Anolis sagrei: one gene and its partner. The main gene of each other region encodes a partner of the protein of the gene in region 2 in a complex. Links are inferred from orthologs where the notes say so. Each region holds a gene or a part of one and is shown on either strand. Other genes may lie near its edges.

Region 1 (10,852 bases), on a different chromosome or scaffold from region 2:
TTATAAAATATGTTTCATTCTAGTTCTATATTATTAGTTAGATTAAGTGTTCTGAAAATATAGGAATGTATAAATGACAAGCTGGGTGGGAGCAAGTGTAGGTGTAGGTAGGAGTGCCAAGGAGGGCAGCATAGGGTATTTTCAGCCAGGCTGTACTCCTCCTGGCACATCTGCATCAGCAGAGCATGCTGATGATTCACTAGGATCAAGCAGAATTGGCGCATGGCCCCTCCAACACTATGCAGTTTAGGCCTGATTTGGTACTGTTCCCCTGTCTCCACTTCACCATCTTCTTCATCAGCCTAATGACAGAAAGTACATAGTTCAAAATAGCAACTTTGTTTTTTTTTAAAAAAACTGGTCTTCATATGAAAAATATGTAGTTCATCATGTTCAGACAATTTTGAATGAAATCAGAGACACCAGAGAGATGGATAGGCACATTTCTGATAAGTGTATGGGGAAAATGCTTATGCTTCATGGAACATAAGTTGTAAAATGATTAGTTTCTTAAGGATTGTCTTATTGTTTCACATGTCATTTTTCATTGCTGGTATCTAGACTAAGTTAATAGCTTTGATGAGAGGCAACAAATGGGAGTTTGGTGTACAGATCCTTCAAAACAGGACTGTACTTTCCTTGAAGAAGCAGATGCAAATATTTTGGGAAGCATTTGGATCTAGTCTTGCCACTAGTAACAAAAGGGAAGCAAACTCTACTTTAGTTGGCCAGGCTGATTTTATGAGAAACATGCCTAAAAGGTGGCCTGCAGAATTTGTCTCCTAATGGGTACAACAATGTAGGATTTCTAAGAGCTCTGAACTTGTTACCTATTAGCTACAGTGCACTGGTATTAAATGCTCCAAATGGCTTGGAACGAAAATACCCAAAGAAACACTGCTTCTTCTACCAGCCCATCTCTTGAAAAAAAAAATAGCCTTTTCTGCAGGGCATCCCATTTATGAAATACCTTTCCTAAACTGCTTTAAACAAAATACCAACATTTTGGATTTGTTTCATCATCATATCAAAACTTACTGGCTCTTCTACTTCGCCTGTAGCATGTTGAGCTTCTGCTTGCAGATCAATGGGTGGGGCATCTTCGACAATTCTCTGCACAGACATCTGAATGAACTCATCAAATGAATCAAGCTGCTGACGGACCAGGCCCTTTTCATCAAAGTAAGAGCTTTGCAAAACAAGTTAAAATCAATGAGAATTACTACTGCAGAATAACAGCGCATTCCAAAATAGCTTCTTCAAATATCCTCCCTAGACCTCCTTGATTAATATAAAAATGTTAGTGAACTACACAAGAGTTCCAAAGCAGAAATACATCGTTTCATTTTTTGATTCATGTGAATATTGTAACATCCCTAACTTCAGAAGAATAATTTCCTCCAGTATTAGACTTGAAACATACTAGTATGTTCAAGTTGCATGATGTATTGTTTTCTGTGGAAGACATTATGGGTAGGTTCTTCAATTCAATGGAATTCAACAAAGTTTAAAAAGGGTTTATTTTAGAGTGAATCTGAATTCTTTCATATTCTTTATATGAACACTTACCTGATGACAATCCAGCATGCTTCTTGCCACAAATCTGGGGTGATTTCATCATCATCTTCATCATATTGCATATCTGCCAAGAAAAGGCAAAGTCCAACACTTCCATAGTCGTTTTTTTAAAACCTTTCGATGCAAATATTTTCACAAAATACATGGGGATAATATATTTCACTTTTATTTCTAAAATTGCAAACATTATTTCCTTTGATCTCAGCAGAGGCCTTCACGGGAAGAACTGTTTTAAAGCTAAAGACAATGCAGTCGCTGTTGCCTGTTTTTGGTCTAAAGCAGTGGTTCTCAACCTGTGGGTCCCCAGATGTTTTGGCCTTCAATTCCCAGAAATCCTAACAGCTAGTAAACTGGCTGGGATTTCTGGGAGTCTAAAACTATTTAGCTGCTTATGATCCCTTTATTTTATCAGTTTAAACTTGTTTACTTATGCAATGCTTCTGAAACTAAATAAAGCAGAGGCCTTGCCCAGGTCTACTATTCAAGAATCTTACAAAGAATAGAGATTCGATTCCCTCTGTGCAAACTACTAAAACATGATCTGAATTCATATTTATATCAAGGCATTTCATATATCTAATTATAATACTTTTCCAAGAATTAAGAATACAGCACTAGGCATTTTTATGAGTATATCACAGTAAAGTAAGGAAAGTTGGTTACAACTGAAAATGCTCATAATTGCTCTATAAGACATCACTGTCTAAAGCAGATCAACAACTTGCAAGAAAATCAAACTCCCTACTTCAGCTGTACTGTGTACTGGTTGAAAAGGTGGCCACAACTCCATGCAGTGCAGGGTACTCATAGTTTACACTGGATTATCATGTTAATATAAATGTTAAAGGTTCCATCCCCAGTCCTTATTCTGCAGGACTGGGTTCAGCACCTTGGACACTTCCTAGAAAGTTTAAATTGAAACTGGGAGTGATTTGCTGCCCAACTGATATGGTGAGAGCAAGCTGTTCCCACTATGGAAAGATGAAACATTTGTTAGAGGAGAGATGTTGCTCAATTGCTCTGCTTATCCAGGCTGAGTCTCATGTGTGGAATACCCTGTCTAAGAGGTGTCCTTGAATTGTGTACAGAGCAGCTGGTGAATTCCTTAAACTTGTCCTTCCCATGACACCAGGCAGTTTAGAAGCACTTGGCCCTTTGACAAGTCTGGTTGACCATTTTATTAAATTGTAAAGCATCAAGCAAACACCTTTTCACCACTTCCAGTGAATGAGCCCTTCCTCAAAGGTCACTGTTGCCACTGAGTGGAGATCCGAATTGTAAATGTACTGTAACCAGAAAAGGCTTTCAGGGTGCTTCCTCCATTGCTTTTAATTTACTTTATTACATGCCATGCTGTGAACTTTACTTGGTACTGTTCCATTATCTGGGTGGAGGCCACTAGGGACTGCTAGAGAAAGATACTTCATTTTATTGGGGTGGAAGGTGGGTTGAAGGAGCAAAACCATTTTCCCCTGTTTTCCTGTTATTCTCCCCACTCATGTCTCTGTCATGGAAACAACCCTTGTCTATGATAAGGGAAGTGGGGAGGGGGAATAACCAGTGAAAATGGGGGAAGTGGTTTTCCTCCTTCAACTCCCCCCCCCACTAAAATGAAGTATCCTCCCTTCCCAATCCTCCCTCCACCTGGATAAAGAAACATAATTACTTTAAGCGATTAATTAAAACCATAAATTATGGTGCGAATCTTGCCTTGCTTCAGTAATTAGAAACTTCAACTTGGCCAGGCTATGCCACCATTAACACGTAGCTGATATAATCCTTAAAGGTGTTCAGAGTTTTCCAAGGTTTTAAATAATAATAAAAAGAAAAAAACTTTATTTGTATCCTGCCCCATCTTCCTAGAAGGACTCAGGGTGGCTTACAAGGTAGTGACAATGCAAACAAAAACATCAAATATATAGCAATAACCCAAATAACCTAAATCAATAAAGTAAACACCAATGAAAAATAAATATGCTTGAAAAATGTTTTGCAAGCATTGTATTGCAGACCTTTCTTCTGTTGCAGATTGGGGGTGGGGGGAGGGAAGGAATGAGTAATTTGGCTAAGGCCACTCAGAATATCTATAGCCCCTTCCACACAGGCTGTATAAAATCCACATTGAACTGTATTATATGGCAGTGCAAACTCAGATAATCCAGTTCAAAGCAGATATTGTGTATTATCTGCTTTGATATTCTGGGTTATAAAGCTGTCTGGAAGAGCCCTATATCTATTTATCTATCTATTTATCAGTATATATGTACGTTGGTTGCTTGGCACCACAAATAATTGAGGGGTTTGAGCCTTTTGGGACTAAAGCTGAGAGAAAGAAAATGATCAAAATGGATTGGCCATTGGTGAGTTGAAGTGACCTCTGTGATGTGACTGGGAAAGAAAAGGAATGATGCTGCTACTAGGACCCCTTCCACACAGCTGTATAAAATCCACACTGGGCTGTATTATATGGCAGTGTGGACTCAGATAATCCAGTTCAAAGCAAATATGGTCATCTGCCTTGAGATTCTGGGTTATATGGCTGTGTGGAAGGGCCTAGGTGACATGTGTATGAGGGGAACGGCGGGAGGAAGGAAACAGATAAAGAAGAAAAAGAAAGGAAAGAAGACAATGGAATGTGGGGGGAAATATATGGGGGGAGAAAGAAGGGAAGTGAAAAGAAAGAAGGACAAAGGAAGGAAAGGATAAAAGAAGAGAAAGGTAAGACTGAGAGAGAGAGAAGTGGAGGAGTGGAGGAAAGGAAAGGATTAAAGGAAAAGAAGGAAGAGAAAGGAAAGAGAGAATGAAAGAGAAGTGGGGGAAGTGAAAGAGGAAAAGGATCGGAAAAAGGAAAGAAAGGTAGAAAAGAGAGAGGGACAAGGTGTATGAGAGAAATGGAGGAAGGAGTCACAATTAGGATGTTTGGCCTCTTGGACCTTACGTGCGTCATCTCACCCTAAGGAAACAATTCCTGCCTTCTTTTAGAGGGCAGGAGTTCTGTGGCCATTGCTGAGCTGCTACCAGGGACACCTTCCAGGGGTATCGCTACCCTTCAGCCGCCCCAACGAGGAAGACGTAGCGCCTCAGGAGAGCCTCCCCTGCCTTCCCCTCGCCCTCCGGCTTCCCTCTGCAGGGCCTCACCTTCGTCCGCGTCGTACATCTTGGCGGCGGCAAGTCAAACTCTCAGGAGCAGAAAACACAGGCGGAGAACGTCGCTCGAGCGAAAGCACCAGCTTATGGTCGCATTTCCCAGGCACTTCCGTCCCGCTTACAAACGTCACTTCCGTTCACTCCAGAGAGAGCCTTGGAGGCCCTTCGCGCACGCGCTTTCTTTGAACGAGCTTGAGCCTTGGCGCCTGCGCAATTCGATTGTGCGCACGACAGGGTGATGCCAAAGAAAGCTATAGACTAGACAAGCTTGTCCATGCCTGCTATAGACAATAATGGAGTCTATCCAGTGTTTTCCACATCTTAGTCTTCCAGATGTTTTGAATTTCATTTCCCAAAATTTATCACTGTTGAACAATCTGCTGGAGGCTGCTGGGAGTTGAAGTACAAAACAGCTGAAAAAGCTAGGCTTGAAAATCACTGGTTTTGCATAAAGAAAGCCCACATGGCGAAACTATTTGGGTGCTGTACTATGACAAGTGGGGTTTATATATCTGTGAAATGGCCAGCTTAATTAGCATTGAATAGCCTTGCAGCTTCAAAGGCTGGTTGCTTCCTACCTGGGGGGAATCCTTTGTTGGGAGGAGTTAACTGGCCCTGATTGTTTCCTGTCTGGAATTCCTCTGTTTCCTAAGTGTAGTTCTTTATTTACTGTCCTGATTTTAGAATTTTTTAATACTGGTAGCCAGATTTTGCTTTTTTCCATAGTTTCCTCCTTTCTGTTGAATTGTGGGAAATTGAATTGTTAGGAATTGTGGGAATTGAAGTGCAGAACACCTGGAGTGCCACAGTTTGCCCTTGCCTTTGAAGGCTATTGCCTTGACGGCTTTTTATTTAGTTTCAAGGGCGTCTTGAGAAACTGCAAGTTGCTTCTGATGTGAGAGAAATGGCTTTCTGCAAGGACATTGCCCAGGGGATGCCTGGATGTTTGATCTTTTACCATCCTTGTGGGAGGCTTCCCTCATGGGGAGCTGGAGTTGACAGAAGGACCTGCTCAACCTGGAATTGAACTGCTGACCTATTGGTCAGCTGTCCTGCTGGCACAAGGGTTTAACTCAATGTGCCAGCAGGACTCCAGCCGAATTCTGCACGAGCTTAGGAGTCCCCTAAAGGCCTGGCCTGCGGTGCAAGGAAGAGGCCACAAGTTGGATTCTTTCTACAAAGGCTTTTATTGCAGGCCAAAGCAACAGGCGACAGCAGGTCATTTTGTGCCCATTGCACAAAACGTTTGTTGCAACTTGAAATGGGGTTGCAATTTTTTTTATCACTTTCACAGAAAATTGAAAGCATTGTCTCATTGGTGTACAAAAATCAATCATTCCATTGGTCCAAGCTGACTAACCGATTTTCATTGGCTCTCCATGACTCTAACAATCAAGAAGGCAAACAGTCACAGTGGCTAACAATCGCACAATTATGCTTTCATATTTCTGGCCCTGAATGTCTCAGTGGTCCAATCTTATGTGCTTTTCTGTTTCAAGCATGGACTTCAAGCGGCTGGGAAATTAGGGGGTACTAGCTAACCTGTTTTGTCCTGATGAACTTTTATTTGAGAGGTAACTTCCTCTCTGTGACAGCATTTTCCCCAACTGTCAAACAAAGGCCTCTGCAAAATGAGGACATATAGGGCTTTCACTCATTGGCACCCATGAAAATTCTATTAAAAACTATGTCTTCCTCAGCACCACTGGGGGTTCCTTGAGGCCTATTGCCTTGAGGCCTCACTTAGGCGATCCCTCATTGTCCGAGTAGGATTGTCTTCCAAGATCGGTGTACTGGGGGTGGGTCTGTAGGTGACTGTGGAGCCCTATTCTTGATCTGCATCTTCTGCCACAGTGTGGGCATTGGTTTCCAGGTGGAAGGTGGTCCCAGTCGTGGTTGGTTTGACACACCTTCCTCTTGGCATGCTTATCTCTTTCGCCCTCCATTCGTGCCTCCTCAAATTCTACAGCACTGCTGGTCACAGCTGACCTCCAGCTAGAACGCTCAAGGGCCAGGGCTTCCCAGTTCTCAGTATTCCAGAGTTTTTAAGGTTGGCTTTGAGCCCATCTTTAAATCTCTTTTCCTGTCCATCAACATTCCGTTTTCCATTCTTGAGTTCGGAGTAGAGCAACTGCTTTGGGAGACGGTGGTCGGGCATCCGGACAACGTGGCCGGTCCAGCAGAGTTGATGGCAGAGGACCATCGCTTCAATGCTGGTGGTCTTTACTTCTTCCAGCATGCTGACATTTGTCCGCTTGTCTTCCCAAGAGATCTGCAGCTGATGGAATTGTTCTAGGAGTTGCATGTGATGTCTGTAGACAGTCCATGTCTCGCAGGCATATAGCAGGGTTGGGAGGACAATAGCTTTATAAACAAGCATCTTGGTATCCCTACGGATGTCCCGGTCCTCAAACACTCTCTGCTTCATTCGGAAAAAAATGCTTTGAGGCCCATTGCCAAGCCTTGAGGCCCAGCCACATTTCAGAGGAGCCTGAAAGGAGAAGTTATGCAGAGTCCAGGGGCCTCCGATAGGGGGCGGTGTTGCTTCCGGAAGGAACGCTCGCTGGCTGGCTGGCTTGGGCCGCTCTGGCCCTCGGACTCGCTGCCCTTCCCTCAGCTTTCCCTCACGGAGGAGCATGAACGGCCTGAGGCGGGCGCTGCAGCTAGGACGGTTGTGGCCTGGGGCGCTCCCAAGGCCTCGCCGCGGCCTGGCCTCTTTCCCGGGGCTGGGCAAGGGCTGGGCCGCGGCGGAAGGAGAAGAGGAGTTCGTCTTCCCGGAGTACCTCCCCTCAGAGCCGGGCCCGGAGGAGGAGAAGAAGCCTCCCGCGCCGCCGCGAGAAAGAGCAGGCCCGAGGCCGGAAGAGCGGCGCCGGAAGCCGCCTCGGGCGAGCTTCCACCAGGCCTCGGGCCTCCCGGACCCGTCGCTGCCGGCCAGCGGCGTGGGCTGCCCGGGCTGCGGGGCCGAGCTGCACTGCCGCGACCCGGTTCTGCCTGGCTACCTGCCCAGCGAGAAGTACCGGGCCCTGAAAGAGGAGGGGGAAGGCGGCGAGGGCCTGGAGGGGGCGGTGTGCCAACGCTGCTGGCTCCTGGTGCACCACCGGCAGGCGCTGAAGGTGGAGCTGCCCCGGGAGGAGTTCCGCAGCCTGGTCGGCGCCGCCTTGAAGGCCCCCTCGCGCCACAACCGCCCGCCCTTAGTGCTGCTCCTGGCCGACCTCCTCGACCTCCCTGAGTCGCTGCTCTTGCCCGACCTGTCCAGCCTGGTCGGGGACCAAACCCACCTCCTGGTGCTGGGCAACAAAGTGGACCTTCTCCCGGGAGACTCCCACGACTACCTGCGCCGCCTGCGGGGAAGCCTTCGCCAGGCCTGCGCCCAAGCGGGCCTCCCCGCCAAGGAGGAGCCGCACCTGATCAGCGCCAAGACAGGCTTCGGCCTGGAGGACCTCATCAGCCGCCTGCAGCGCTCCTGGAAGTTCAATGGGGATGTCTACCTGGTGGGCGCCACCAACACCGGGAAGTCCACCCTCTTCAACGCCCTCCTGCACTCTGACTACTGCAAGTCCCGGGCCTCCCAGGCCATCCACCGGGCCACCATCTCACCCTGGCCAGGTCAGCGGGGCATCATCTCTCCTGCGAAGGTGGCTTCCATTGGGTTGCTGTGAGTTTTTCGGGCTGTAGGACCATGTTCCAGTCATAATAATACAAGGGATATCCGGAAAGTAATAATAATATAATTATTAAACCTCTGAGGATGCTTGCCATAGATGCATCAAAACGTCAGGAGAGAATGCCTCTAGACCAGGGGTCCTCAAACTAAGGCCCAGGGGCCGGATGCGGCCCTCCAAGCTCATTTACCCGGCCCTTGCTCAGGGTCAACCTAAGTCTGAAATTATTTGAAAGCACAAAACAACAGCAATCCTATCTCATCAGCCTAAAGCAGGCCCACACTTCCCATTGAAATACCAATAAGTTTATATTTGTCAAAATTGTTATTCATTTTAATTATTGTATTGTTTTAAGTGTTTTTTATAAGGTATGTGCAATGTGCATAGGAATTCATGGTTTTTTTTCAAATTATAATCCGGCCCTCCCAACAGTTTGAGGGCTGTGACCTGGTCGTCTGTTTAAAAAGTTTGTGGACCCTTGCTCTAGACCATGGCCATATAGCCTGAAAAAACCTACAACAACCCACTAATTATTTATTTATTTAGAGTTTTTATACCCCGGTCATCTCACCTCCGAGGAGGGACTAAGGCCAGCTAACAACATAAAATTAAAATACACTTCATACAATTCATACAAATTACAGCAAAAATCAGTTCATCCAAAAGAATCACAAATTCATCGCCATCCGCTAGAATGGTCAGCAGTTATTGACTCAGTCATCATTCTGCGAATGCAGTATCCCAAAGCCATGTTTTTACCTGCTTTCTAAATGTCATGAGGGAAGAGGCAGATCTAATATCCATCGGGAAGGAGTTCCAAAGCCGAGGGACCACCACCGAAAAGGCCGTGTCCCTTGTCCCCACCAAACGCGATTGCGAAGGCGGTGGGAGGGAGAGCAGGGCCCCTCCAGAAGATCTTAATAACCTTGATGGTTCATAGGGGAGAATCCGTTCGGACAGGTAAATAGGGCCAGAGCCGTTTAGGGATTTATAGGTCAACACCAGCACTTTGAATTGTGCTCGGAAGCTGGTTGGCAGCCAGTGGAGCTGGTGCAACAGAGGAGTAGTATGCTCCCTGTACCCCGCTCCCGTTAGTAATCTGGCTGCCGCTTGTTGTACTAGTTGTAGCTTCCGGGCAGTTTTCAGAGGCAACCCCACGTAGAGAGCGTTGCAGTAGTCTATACAGGATGTAACCAGAACATGTACCACCGTGGCCAAGTCAGACTTCCCAAGGTACGGGCGCAGCTGCCGCACAAGTTTTAATTGTGCAAATTACAGGGTTAGTCAAAATGCATAGGCCAATAAGCCATTCAATTGAATGGCTTATTGGCCTATGCATTTTGACTAACCCTGTATAATAACTTTATATTTATACCCCACCATGTTAGCCATTTTTATGTTGGAAAACGCCCAGACTCCTCTTGAGGAGATAGGGCAGGTTACAAATAAAGTTGTATTATATTATTGTTGTGAAGGCACACTGGGTTGAAAGGAAAACTATATGTCTGGCTATACCCGGTGGCTATTGGTATACCCTCTGATGTACTTCAGTTCTTTAAAAATAATGACGCTTGAGACAGAATCAAAGTTAACCAAATAAGTTTACTGGAAACAAAAGGCAAAGTTCTTGAAAGTCAGAGTTCTTGAAAGGCGAATCAAGATAAAATATTACAAAGTGAAGTTTGTTGATGGAACTTAGTTACACTGATAAAAAACACTTGACTATATTCATAAAATATGAGGTAAAACACTTGACTATAATTGTGGTAAGTCACTTGGTAAAATACTTGGCTATTGAAAATAAAATACTGGACTAAACTATTGGTAAATTCAGCTATGAAGGTCTATGAGGTATACACAGCTTTGACGGTCTGTGAGGTATATACTAAGCTATGGTGATGGTATAGTACAAGCTATAGTGACTATTTTGTATATATATGTGCTATAGAATGCCTGTTTAGATTGCCAGGCCAAGGAACCCAGACAATTTCTGGCTTTCTCCTCTAAAACTCTGATACAGACTAAAAAGGAGGGAAAAGCCTTTCAGACAAGTTCTGAGGCAAAAGGGCTAAACCAACAGGGCCAGCCTTTAGCAATTGTTGTTGCTGCTGCCTGGGGGCATCTTTTTTTTTTTTTTTTTTTTTGGAGGTATAAACTGGCACTTAATTATTTGCTGCCTGGAATTCCTCTTTTTCTCTTTGTTCTTTATTTACTCTCTTGATTCTGGTACTTTTTAATACTTGTGACCAGATTTTATTCATTTTTATGGTTTCCTCCTTTCCATTGATATTGTCCACATTCTGATGGATTTCAATGGTCTCTCTGTGCAGTTTGACATGATTGTTGTCAGAGTGGTCCAGCATGTATGTGTTCTCAAATAATATTCCATGTCCAGGTTGGTTCATCAAGTGCTTTGCTATAGCTGACTTCTCTGGTTGAATTAGGCCTTTTGTTTTCTTTGATTT
Region 2 (10,599 bases):
ACAGCGAGCTCCCGAGCTGTCAGGGATCTCGCTTTTTGGCGGATTTAACAAACCCCTGACAACTCGGAAGAGCTCAGCTGGACGATTCTTCGCAGATGCAATATTGGCGGCAAAGGATGTTTTTTGTGCTGCCTCTATTGCCACACCGTAGGACCTTAGAAAGGCATTCAGATGTGTTTGGGCTGATTTAGTCGGATTCTTCCGCCACACGCGCTCTAGCCACCTCTTCTTTCGCTTCATTGCCGCCAGCTCCTCAGTAAACCAAGAGGCTGGATTGGCTCGGTTACTCGAGAGGGGGCGTTCCGGAGCAATTGTGTCAATTGCCCTAGTCATCTCGGTGTTCCAATGAGAGACCAAGGCATCGACCGAGTCGCCAGCCAGGGAGGTGGGAAATTCCCCAAGAGCCGTCAGGAAGCCATTTGGATCCATGAGTCTCCTGGGGCGGACCATTCTAATGGGTCCACCACCCCTGCGGAGGTTAGAAGGTACAGTCAGTCTAAACCTAATCAGGTGGTGATCGGTCCATGACAATGGAGCGATGGTCAGCTCCTCCACCCCGACACTGTCACCCCATCCCTGAGAAAAGACCAAATCCAATGTGTGTCCGGCAGTATGGGTGGGACCAGATACTAGTTGGGACAGGCCCATGGTTGTCATGGCGGCCATAAAGTCCTGAGCTGCACCTGAAAGAGCGGTCTCGGCATGGATATTGAAATCCCCCAGGACTAAAAGCCGCTGGGAGCTCAACGCCATGTCCGAGACCACTCCTGCTAGCTCAGGTAGGGAGACTGTCGTGCAGCGGGGTGGTCGGTACACTAACAGAATCCCTATCCTGTCCCGGTCACCTAACCTAAAGCCGGCACACTCAAATGACGATGATTGTGGGATGGGGCACCTGATCAGGGGAATGCAAACCTTATAGACGACTGCCACTCCTCCTCCCCGCCCTCCGGGTCTCGGCTGGTGCTGGACAGAGTACCCTGGCGGGCATAGTTGGGAGAGGTTCACCCCTCCCCCCTCGTCCAGCCAGGTCTCTGTTATACATGCCAGGTCGGCTTGTTCCTCCTGAATTAGATCTCGAATGGTGGAGGTTTTTCCATTTACCGACCTGGCATTGAACAGCACCACCCTTAACCCAGAGGGACCACCATCCTGTCATCTCAGCTGTATCTTGTCAGGAGGGTTTTTTGGAGTTGCCAATATATTCCTACTGTTTTCGGGCCGAATCGTTTGTAAAGTTGTAGTATAAGTAATCTTTGGGATTGCCAATGTTCTATTGTACTTTTTGGGCCAGGTTTGTTTTTGTCTTGCATCCTTAAAATGTTTTGAATTCGCCAAATTATTGTTAGAAATTTTGGGTCGGATTGAGTAATTTGTTCTCCCTTTCCCGTATCTCCCTCTACCTGTCACCACCTCTATAGCAGCCCCTTCACCCGCAGAGCCACCTACCCCGGGGGAAATTCCTCCAAGCTCCTCATTTGAAGTATCAGGTGTTGATGCATAATAATAGCAGACATTGTTGTAGTTGTATAACTCTGAACCCCTAGGGTCCTCCACCCCCCTGCTTCCTACTCCTTCCCATGTATTGGAGAACATAAAGTGCATTTGAGTAACACTGGCAGAGAAGGCTGTCAGTAATAACAAAATTGACAAAGGTGGTGGCATCAGTCAATTGCTGGTAGTTCGTAATGTAGAGCTAGGGTCTGCCTAGGGTACAGGGCTGTCTAAAGTGCTATAGTGCCACACCTCACAGCAGCTTATTGGTTTGGGACCAGTTGATAGCTTATAATGACCCAGGCGTTCTAAAGTGCAGGATTAAAGTGCTAGAAATTAAAGTGCTAGGTGGTTTTCTATGGCTCAGATTCTAATAGTACCATAGAGTCTCAGTGATGGACTAAAGTGCTCAATAGTTCAATAACTCAAAGTCAGTGCCCACAGAAGAAACCCGATGTCATTCAACTAGGATGGGCAGTTAGAACCATAGGGCCCAGCTTCTAGGGCCCGTGGACAGCAAGCCGGCACCCCTTGGCCTGGCCCCTAGTTCTTCTTGACTGTCCCAGTGGAAAGCTGATGAAGCTTAATGGGGGTTGGTCTTATATATTGCAGGCAGTGACTCCAAGGAGACAGTTTCTAGCAGCTGTGTGGAGTGATATCAATTGCACCTCCAGCCAAAGGGGGCGATGTTGCAGGAGGTAACAGGATTTCTGTTGCTATGAGTTCTGGATGGCAGCAGCAGAACACTGAGCTTCTAGGCCTTCCGGTTGTTGCTTGGGCCCCCACTAATGGAGGAGTGGCGATGTTTATTCCGGACGCTAGTGGCGCGATGGAAAATGTCCCGCGTTGACGATGAGATCCGGATGGCAAGGAAGCAGTCAATGATGGAATTCCACTGTTGGTGGCACAACTCAGCCAGCAGAGGGCCGCTGCTATTGGTGATGGGGGCCGAGCCGATGCAATACAATGGCAGCGCCGAGCCAACACAGCTCCTGCACTCCGGCCACCACCAGATGGAAGCACGGAGGGATCCGAGCAGCGCGTTCTCAGCGGGGAGGGAGGAGTGCGCGGCGGTGGGGCCTAGCAGGCCCGAAGGAGCGCTGGAGAGTCTTCTTCCTTCTCCCCTCCCCTGGACCGGCGGGAGGGAGGGGCTCGCGGCGGCGGGGCCTAATGGGCCCGACGGAGTGCTCGAGGGCCTTCTTCCTTCTCTCCCTCCCCCGGACCGGCGGGAGGGAGGGGCTCGTGGCTGCGGGGCCTAGCAGGCCCGAAGGAGCGCTGGGTGTTAATACCGCTGGCGGCGTCGGCGGCGACGTCGGCCGTGCCTGGGATGATAGGCCACTCCCGGGCCGTGCCTGGGATGGCGGGCCCGCTGCAGTCTACCCTCAATAGCCTGGAGGTGACTCCGCAACGGGCTGTAGTAAGGTGATAGGTGGTGGCAGCAGCGGTGATGGTGTCGCGAGGAACCGCCACGGTTAGATCTTAAAGGCTTGAGGGAGGCGGCTGCATTGTAATGGCAGCGCTCTACCTCGCTCCTCCTCCTCCTCCTCCTCCGTTCTCTTCTTTAGGGTTAATCTGACCCCCGGACCTTTTTCGGGCCTCTTTCGGAACCCCTGATTGCCCCGGGCTCCCTGGCTGGGTCAGAGGGGGGGATTGGGGGGGAGGATCACCTTAGATTTCCTCAGATTGAGAATCCCCATTAGCGCAGCTCAGGATCTTGTTGCTTCTTATAGGCTAAAGCTAGCACTTTGTACTGTGCTTGGTAGGAAACTGGCAGCCAGTGGAGCTGACGCAGCAGGGGGGTTGTATGTTCCCTGTACCCCGCTCCAGTGAGTAATCTGGCTGCCACCTGTTGGACCAATTGAAGCTTCCGAACAGTCTTCATAGGCAACCCCAGCGTGTTGCAGTAGTCAAAGCCAAAGTGTACAAGATGGATTGTACAGGAGAAGGTGATCCTTTAGGTGACGTGGACCCAAACTATGTGGGGTTTTAAAGATCAAAACCACCACCTTGTACTTTGCTGGGAAATTAATTGGCAAAAAGTGGAGTGACTTTAGGATAGGTCAGGAGAGTGGGGCTTGAATTGAGATACACGGCTTGTGAACAGGATGCCTGGCTTTAAAATGTCTTTTCACGTTTCCCTATCCCCAGAGCTGCAAGTGCTGTTGGGTTCAATTCCCATCATCCCCAGTTCACATGGTGGATAATTCAAAGTGGTGAGAGCTGTCGTTTAATGACATCTGGGGACCTGAACTGGGCAACAAACTCAAGCTCACTATAGGTTGTTGTAGGTTTTTCGGGCCATATGGCTATGTTCTAGAAGCATTCTCTCCTGACGTTTCACCTGCATCTATGGCAGTGCTTCTCAACGTGGGGGTTGGAACTCTTGGGGGGGTCACGAGACGGTTTCAGAGAGGGGGGGTCACCAAAGTCCATCTGAAAACATATTTCTGATGGTCTTAGTAACCCTCTTGGAGAAAAGGCTGAACATATGTCTGCCTATCCTTCTTTTCCTTTTTTGGTGTTGGTGAACTACAACTCCCAGAATTCAAAAACAGCTTGCCCCAACCCCACCAGTATTCAATATTGGCCATGTAGGTAGTGTGCCAAGTTTGGAGCAGATAAATTGTGGGGTGGGTTCAGAGTGCTCCTTGATGGTAAGTGAACTATAAATCTCTGCAATTACAACTCCCAAATATCAAGATCTATTTCCCCCAAACTCTACCAGTGTTCACATATTGGGCATATTGAGTATTCGTGCCAAGTTTGGTCCAGATCTGTCACTGTTTGAGTCCGCAGTGCTCTCTGGATGTAGGTGAACTACAACTCCCAAACTCAATGCCAATGCCTACCAACCCTTTCCAGTATTTTCTGTTGGTCATGGGAGTTCTGGGTGCCAAGTTTGGTTCGATTCCATTGTTGGTGGAGTTCAGAATGCTCTTTGATTGGAAGTGAACTATAAATCCCAGCAACTAAAACCATTCATAACAGTAACAAAATTCCAGTTATGAATTAGCAACGAAAATGATTTCATTGTTGGGGGTCACCACAACATGAGGTACTGTATTAAGGGGTTGCGGCATCAGGAAGGTTGAGAACCACTGACCTATGGCCTCACAACCTCTGAGGATGCTGTCTATAGATGCAGGCGAAACGTCAGGAGAGAATGCTTCTATCAAATGGCCATATAGCCCAAAAACCCTACAACAACCCAGTGATAAAGCTCACTATGTTAAAAAAATATAGTTGGCCCTCTGTCTCCACAGACTTAAGGGCCCCTTGAAGGCAACCACGAGGCTGATGTGGCCCTGGGTACAAGGGAGGAAGAGGAACAATGCAGCCCCTCTCCCTTGACAGTCTGGCCTTCCAAGAGCGCACTTCTTGGTGTCCTCCTTCTCTAAGCACTCAAGGGCTCCATTGCAGATCATTCCTGCTTCATGACTGGGACTGAGCCCCCTGAAGTCTTGGCTGTCACCACCTCACTCACCCTCTCTCTCTCTCTCCCTCAGGCACCGCCATGCATTCATACAACGAGTGAGGGGCGGGGAGGGGGTGGGCAGCCTTGGAGGCCACTTTCTCCACACTGCGCCCTGTTTGGCAACTTTTGTCCGCCATTTCCCGGAAAGAGGAGGCCTCTTCTCTCCCTCCCTCCCTTCCTCCCTCCCGCTCACCTTGACGAGCCACATGCCCGTGTTCTGCTTGGCCCCGGTCAGGTCCAGCTCCCCCTTCTCGCTCATGGCGGCCCTCTTGCTCTCCACAACGGCAGCTACCCGAGCAGGAATCGACAGCACACTCGCGGCTTACGGGGGCCGACAGCGTCCAAACCTCCGCCTCCGTCCCAAACGCGTCTCTGGCTGCGCGCTCACACCTCCTCGGTGGGCGTGGCTTGTTCGAGAGGCCCCGCCTACGGGGAGGCCAGGGAGAAGAAAGGCCAGGGCAGGACTGATGGAGGCACCTGTGATTGCATAGCTGCATAAATAGAAGTCAAAATATGTATGCGTGTATTTTTCAGGAGGGAAGGATATTAGAGGCCAAGATGAAGTATTTTGGCCACATCATGAGAAGACAGGAAAGCTTAGAGAAGACAACAATGCTTGGGGGAAATGGAAGGAAAAAGGAAGTTGGATGATGGGCAAGATGGATGGATGGCATCCTTGAAGTGACTGGCTTGACCTTGAAGGAGCTGGGGGTGGTGACGGCCGACAGGGAGCTCTGGCGTGGGCTGGTCCATGAGGTCACGAAGAGTCATAAGCGACTGAACGAATGAACAACAACAAAAATTTTCAGGATGGCTCCCTCACCCAGAGAGTCGCATGACCAGCAATGAGGGATCTGGACCAAATTTGACACACAGACCCATCACACCTATCTTAAAATAGTGAGGTTTTTGGGAGGGAAGTAATGGGGGTTCTGCCCGTGGCACAGCGGGTTAAACCGCTGAACTGTTGAACTTGCTGACCAAAAGGATATTAGAGGCTAAGACGAAATGCAAAGATACAGAATGGGTGACGCCTGGCTCGAGAGCAGTACGTGTGAAAAAGATCTTGGAGTCCTCGTGGACAACAAGTTAAACATGAGCCAACAATGTGATGTAGCAGCAAAAAAAGCCAATGGGATTTTGGCCTGCATCAATAGGAGCATAGTGTCTAGATCCAGGGAAGTAATGCTACCCCTCTATTCTGTTTTGGTTAGACCACACCTGGAATATTGTGTCCAGTTCTGGGTACCACAATTCAAGAGAGATATTGACAAGCTGGAATGTGTCCAGAGGAGAGTGACTAAAATGATAAAAGGTCTGGAGAACAAGCCCTATGAGGAGCGGCTTAACGAGCTGGGCATGTTTAGCCTGAAGAAGACAAGGCTGAGAGGAAACATGATAGCCATGTATAAATATGTGAGAGGAAGCCACAGGGAGGAGGGAGCAAGCTTGTTTTCTGCTTCCTTGGAGACTAGGCCGCAGAACAATGGCTTCAAACTACAAGAAAGGAGATTCCATCTGAACATGAGGAAGAACTTCCTGACTGTGAGAGCCGTTCAGCAGTGGAACTCTCTGCCCCGGAGTGTGGTGGAGGCTCCTTCTTTGGAAGCTTTTAAACAGAGGCTGGATGGCCATCTGTCAGGGGTGATTTGAATGCAATATTCCTGCTTCTTGGCAGAATGGGATTGGACTGGATGGCCCATGAGGTCTCTTCCAACTCTTTGATTCTATGATTCTATGAAAGATTGGTGGTTCAAATCTGGGAAGCAGGGTGAGCTCCCATTGTTAGCCCCAGCTTCTGCCAACCTAGCAGTTCAAAAACATACAAATGTGCATAGATAAATAGGTACCACCTGGGCAAGAAGGTAAAGGCGCTCCATGTAGTCATGCCGGCCACATGATCTAGGAGGTGCCTATGGACAATGCTGGCTCTTGATGAGCCCCACACCCCCAGAGTCAGACATGACTAGACTTAATGTCAAGAGGAAACCTTTACCTTTTCCTGATGGGGGTTGCACTCCACCCACATCCAGAGACCACTGTGAAACCCACCAATGATGGATCTCAACCACATGTGGTACACACAGACCCATTAATTATTATTTATACATCACCTTATCTCTGCCGCAGGAGATGCAAAGCAGTTAACATAAAAACATCAGCATACAATTGAAAATATTTATAAAACTTTATTTCTGTCTCGCCCTGTCTCTCAGTGAGGGATCAGGGCAGGTTACAGTTTACAAGATGGGAACTACAGTATCTTCATTCACTTCTTGAGACCATTCCTACCCACACCAATGACTGATCAAGAGCAAACTTGGCACATAGAGCCCCCATGACCCACTCTACTTCCTGGCATGGTTTGTTAGATGATGGGCCATCGATGATGGGACTTGCGGTACCTTCACCCACTTCCTGAGAACACTGAGACCCACACCAATGACTGATAAAGAGCAAACTTGGCACATAGAGCCTCCATGACCCACTCTATGTCCTGGTGCGGGTTCTGGGCTGACAGACCATGGATGATGGGACTTCCAGTACCTTCACTCGCTTCCTCAGATCACAGTGCCACATACCAATAACTGTTCAAGACCAGAGCCCCCGTGACCCATTCTGCATCCTGGTGCAGTTTGGAGGAGGATGGGCCATGGTCAATGGAACTTCCATATGGAAGCTGTAGTTCACCTGCAACCACTGAACCCAGCCAACATTGGACCTAAACTACACTTGGAGCACAGGCAAACAATGCCGTTCTCAAATAACCTGGGCACCGCCAGGTCCCCAAGCTGGTAATAATAATAAAAACAGAACCAAACGTTAGACATTGTCATAACTATACCAATATACAAATATTAGAACAGCATTAAACATCAATAGGTGGCACAGTGAGTTAAGCCGCTGAGCTGCTGAACTTGCTGATCAAAAGGTCACAGGTTCAAATACGGGGAGCGGCGTGAGCTCCTGCTGTGCATGCAAATGTGAGTAGATCAATAGGTGGGAAGGTAACAACGCTTCATGCAGTCATGCTAGCCACATGACCTTGGAGGTGGCTATGGACAACGCTGGCTATTTGGCTTAGAAATGGAGATGAGCACCAACTTCCAGAGTCAGACACGACCAGACTTAATGTCAGGGGAAAACCTTTAGCTTTACCTTAAACATCATTAGTATTTTTAAAATTTCAAATTAAATCCATAAAAACATATAAAAGCAGGAAGAGGGCCATTCTGCCTTCCTTGGGAAGAAGGGGGTTCCAGAGTTGATGGACAACCACTGAGAAGGAAGACCTGCTCTTCATTTCTATCAACTGAGCTTGAGATAGAGGTGGAAGTAAGAGAAAGGCCTCTCCTGGGGATCTCAGGGCCTGGGCAGGTTCATACAAAGGGATGTGATCAACCAAATAACCTGAACTTGAACCGTCAAGTGCTTTGAAGTATGCCCCGTAACAGACTGGCAGCCAGTGGAGCTACTGGAGGTGGGACCGAGAGAAGGGTTACCATCATGACCATATGTTGGTGGGGATTGGCCCAGGATGATGGCAGCTGTGCTCTGTCCACATCCCAAGATCCTCTTGTATCCCACATCCAGAGAGCCATATCTATTTCTAACAGCACCATTCATAAAACCCCAAATCAAACAATAAACAGCATGCAAAATACCTAACCAGACCACACTGGGTCCCCAGGGCTTTTGGGCTTGTTAGAATATGATTGATATAATCCAGTGGTTCTCAACTTGCGGGTCTGCAGATGTTTTGGCCTTCAACTCCCAGAAATCCTAACAGCTGGTAAACTGTGTTGTCGAAGTCTTTCATGGCCGCAATCACTAGGTTGCTGTGAGTTTTCTGGCTGTATGGCCATGTTCCAGAAGCAGTCTGCTCTAATGTTTTGTCCTCAAAGGATGCTTGCTATAGAGGGTATTTATTTATCGTATCAGGAGCAAACCAAACAGTTGTATTACATTATTAAACAAACAAAAACGTCAGGAGAGAATGCTTCTGGAACATGGCCATATAGCCTGGAAAACTCGCAGCAACCTAGCTGTTATACTGGCTGGGATTTCTGGGAGTTGTAGGCCAAAACACATGTGGACTCACAGATTGAGAACCACTGATTTAATCCCTCCAGGAATGTCCAGGCTCCAGCTGGTTGCAGAAATGAACCCTTTCAAAAGATGGAACCATAGGGCTTTCACAACTGCTGAACTTGTATTAATTTTAAATATATATATATATAATAGAAATTATGTTTAATTCATTATTTTTTGGAGGGGAGATAAATTTTTCAACAACAATTTTGATAATGGTTATCTTATACAATGAACTTATATTTGCTTACATATTTTTCTATCCATAAGGATCCTTATTCATATTTGTTTGCTACCAGGAAAATATCCATTAGGCGTAGCAAATGGGTGGTCTTCCAAGTATTCTTGGACCATGGTCCCCATCATCTGATGAGGAAGGCTAGCTAGGGCCGTCAGGAGTTGGTATCTAACATCTGCAGGCAGCAAAATGTCTAGACTAGTGCTTTAATATCAGGTATTGGTAACTTTCCTCCCAATGAGCCAGGGACTAGTAACACAGCTGTGCCCCTTGGCATCTGGAAGGATGAGCATTATTCCTTTGTATTTCAAGGGCACTCATGGTGAAGCATTTTTAAAACTGTTTCCTAAGCAACGGAACAATCACATTTCATACATTAAATAAATGTCCCCAGACAATAATTATTTTTGTGTTTTAGCACAAGATTCAAACTAAACGTTTAGTTAATGTGTGGTTATTGACTAAATTTTCATTTGAGGACACTCAAATAATCTTTTGTTAAAAAGAGACACTTAGAAATCAATTCTTATCCAGTTTTGGCACATAACTAATGCTATGACCATAAACCAGTGCTTTCCAATCTTTTTTTGACAAGGGACAGGCCTGTAGCCAGGATTTTGTTTCGGGGGGGGGGGGGGGCTGAGTTTGGTTGGGGGGGGGCTGAGTCTGAGTGATAGAGGGTCTGCTCTAGCAAACCTTTTGTATCGTTACCCCAATACCCCCATGCATATGGGATATATTGAGCATGGTGATCAGATCATGATATGAATAAACATAACAGTTTAAATAATGTACTAGTAAGGCCTTCTCGCGGACCACCATGAGAATTTCGGGGGGGGGGGGCTCAAGCCGCCAAGCCCCCCCCCCCCCCGGCTACATGCCTGATCATGGACCACTTGACCAGGGACCGCTTTGACCAATGAACATTCTCCAATATTAGTACCAAAAGGGTTATGAATCAGTTTTTGGTCAACTTTAGATTCAGTTTGGTTATTTGGGGTGCTGATTCAGAAAATTGCATTGGATAGACCACAACAGCTCTAGTTTCTGATACAGAACATACACCATCCAGTAGTCACAATCTGCTTGCCTACAGAAAACTATAATAATCTAGAGTCATAGACCTTATTTTAGGTCTCGAGGCCCACAGGTTGGGAACCACGGCTATAAACTAAACAATGTTGATCTTCTCTCTTTCTCTGCTAACAATAAAAAACAACTAACTATTGGGAACAACTATTCAGGCATTCCCTGATTTGGCTCCAAATATGATGCTATGTGACATTAAGAAATGGCCAGA

What was found.
Region 1: GTF2F2 (region 2) and POLR2B share a complex: the UniProt entries of both Homo sapiens proteins name them as parts of the TBP-based Pol II pre-initiation complex. The link is inferred for Anolis sagrei from reciprocal best matches to the Homo sapiens genes GTF2F2 and POLR2B.

Annotation. Positions count from the first base shown.
Region 1 is NC_090022.1:195,385,603-195,396,454, reverse strand, and holds the start of POLR2B (DNA-directed RNA polymerase II subunit RPB2), read right to left. Parts: upstream 4,862-10,852; 5' UTR 4,736-4,861; coding exon 4,717-4,735; intron 1,643-4,716; coding exon 1,570-1,642; intron 1,190-1,569; coding exon 1,039-1,189; intron 1-1,038. Other genes in the region: NOA1 (nitric oxide-associated protein 1), read left to right, coding at 7,362-8,331. UniProt on the Homo sapiens protein: Catalytic core component of RNA polymerase II (Pol II), a DNA-dependent RNA polymerase which synthesizes mRNA precursors and many functional non-coding RNAs using the four ribonucleoside triphosphates as substrates.
Region 2 is NC_090023.1:144,292,317-144,302,915, forward strand, and holds the start of GTF2F2 (general transcription factor IIF subunit 2), read right to left. Parts: upstream 5,354-10,599; 5' UTR 5,229-5,353; coding exon 5,163-5,228; intron 1-5,162. UniProt on the Homo sapiens protein: TFIIF is a general transcription initiation factor that binds to RNA polymerase II and helps to recruit it to the initiation complex in collaboration with TFIIB.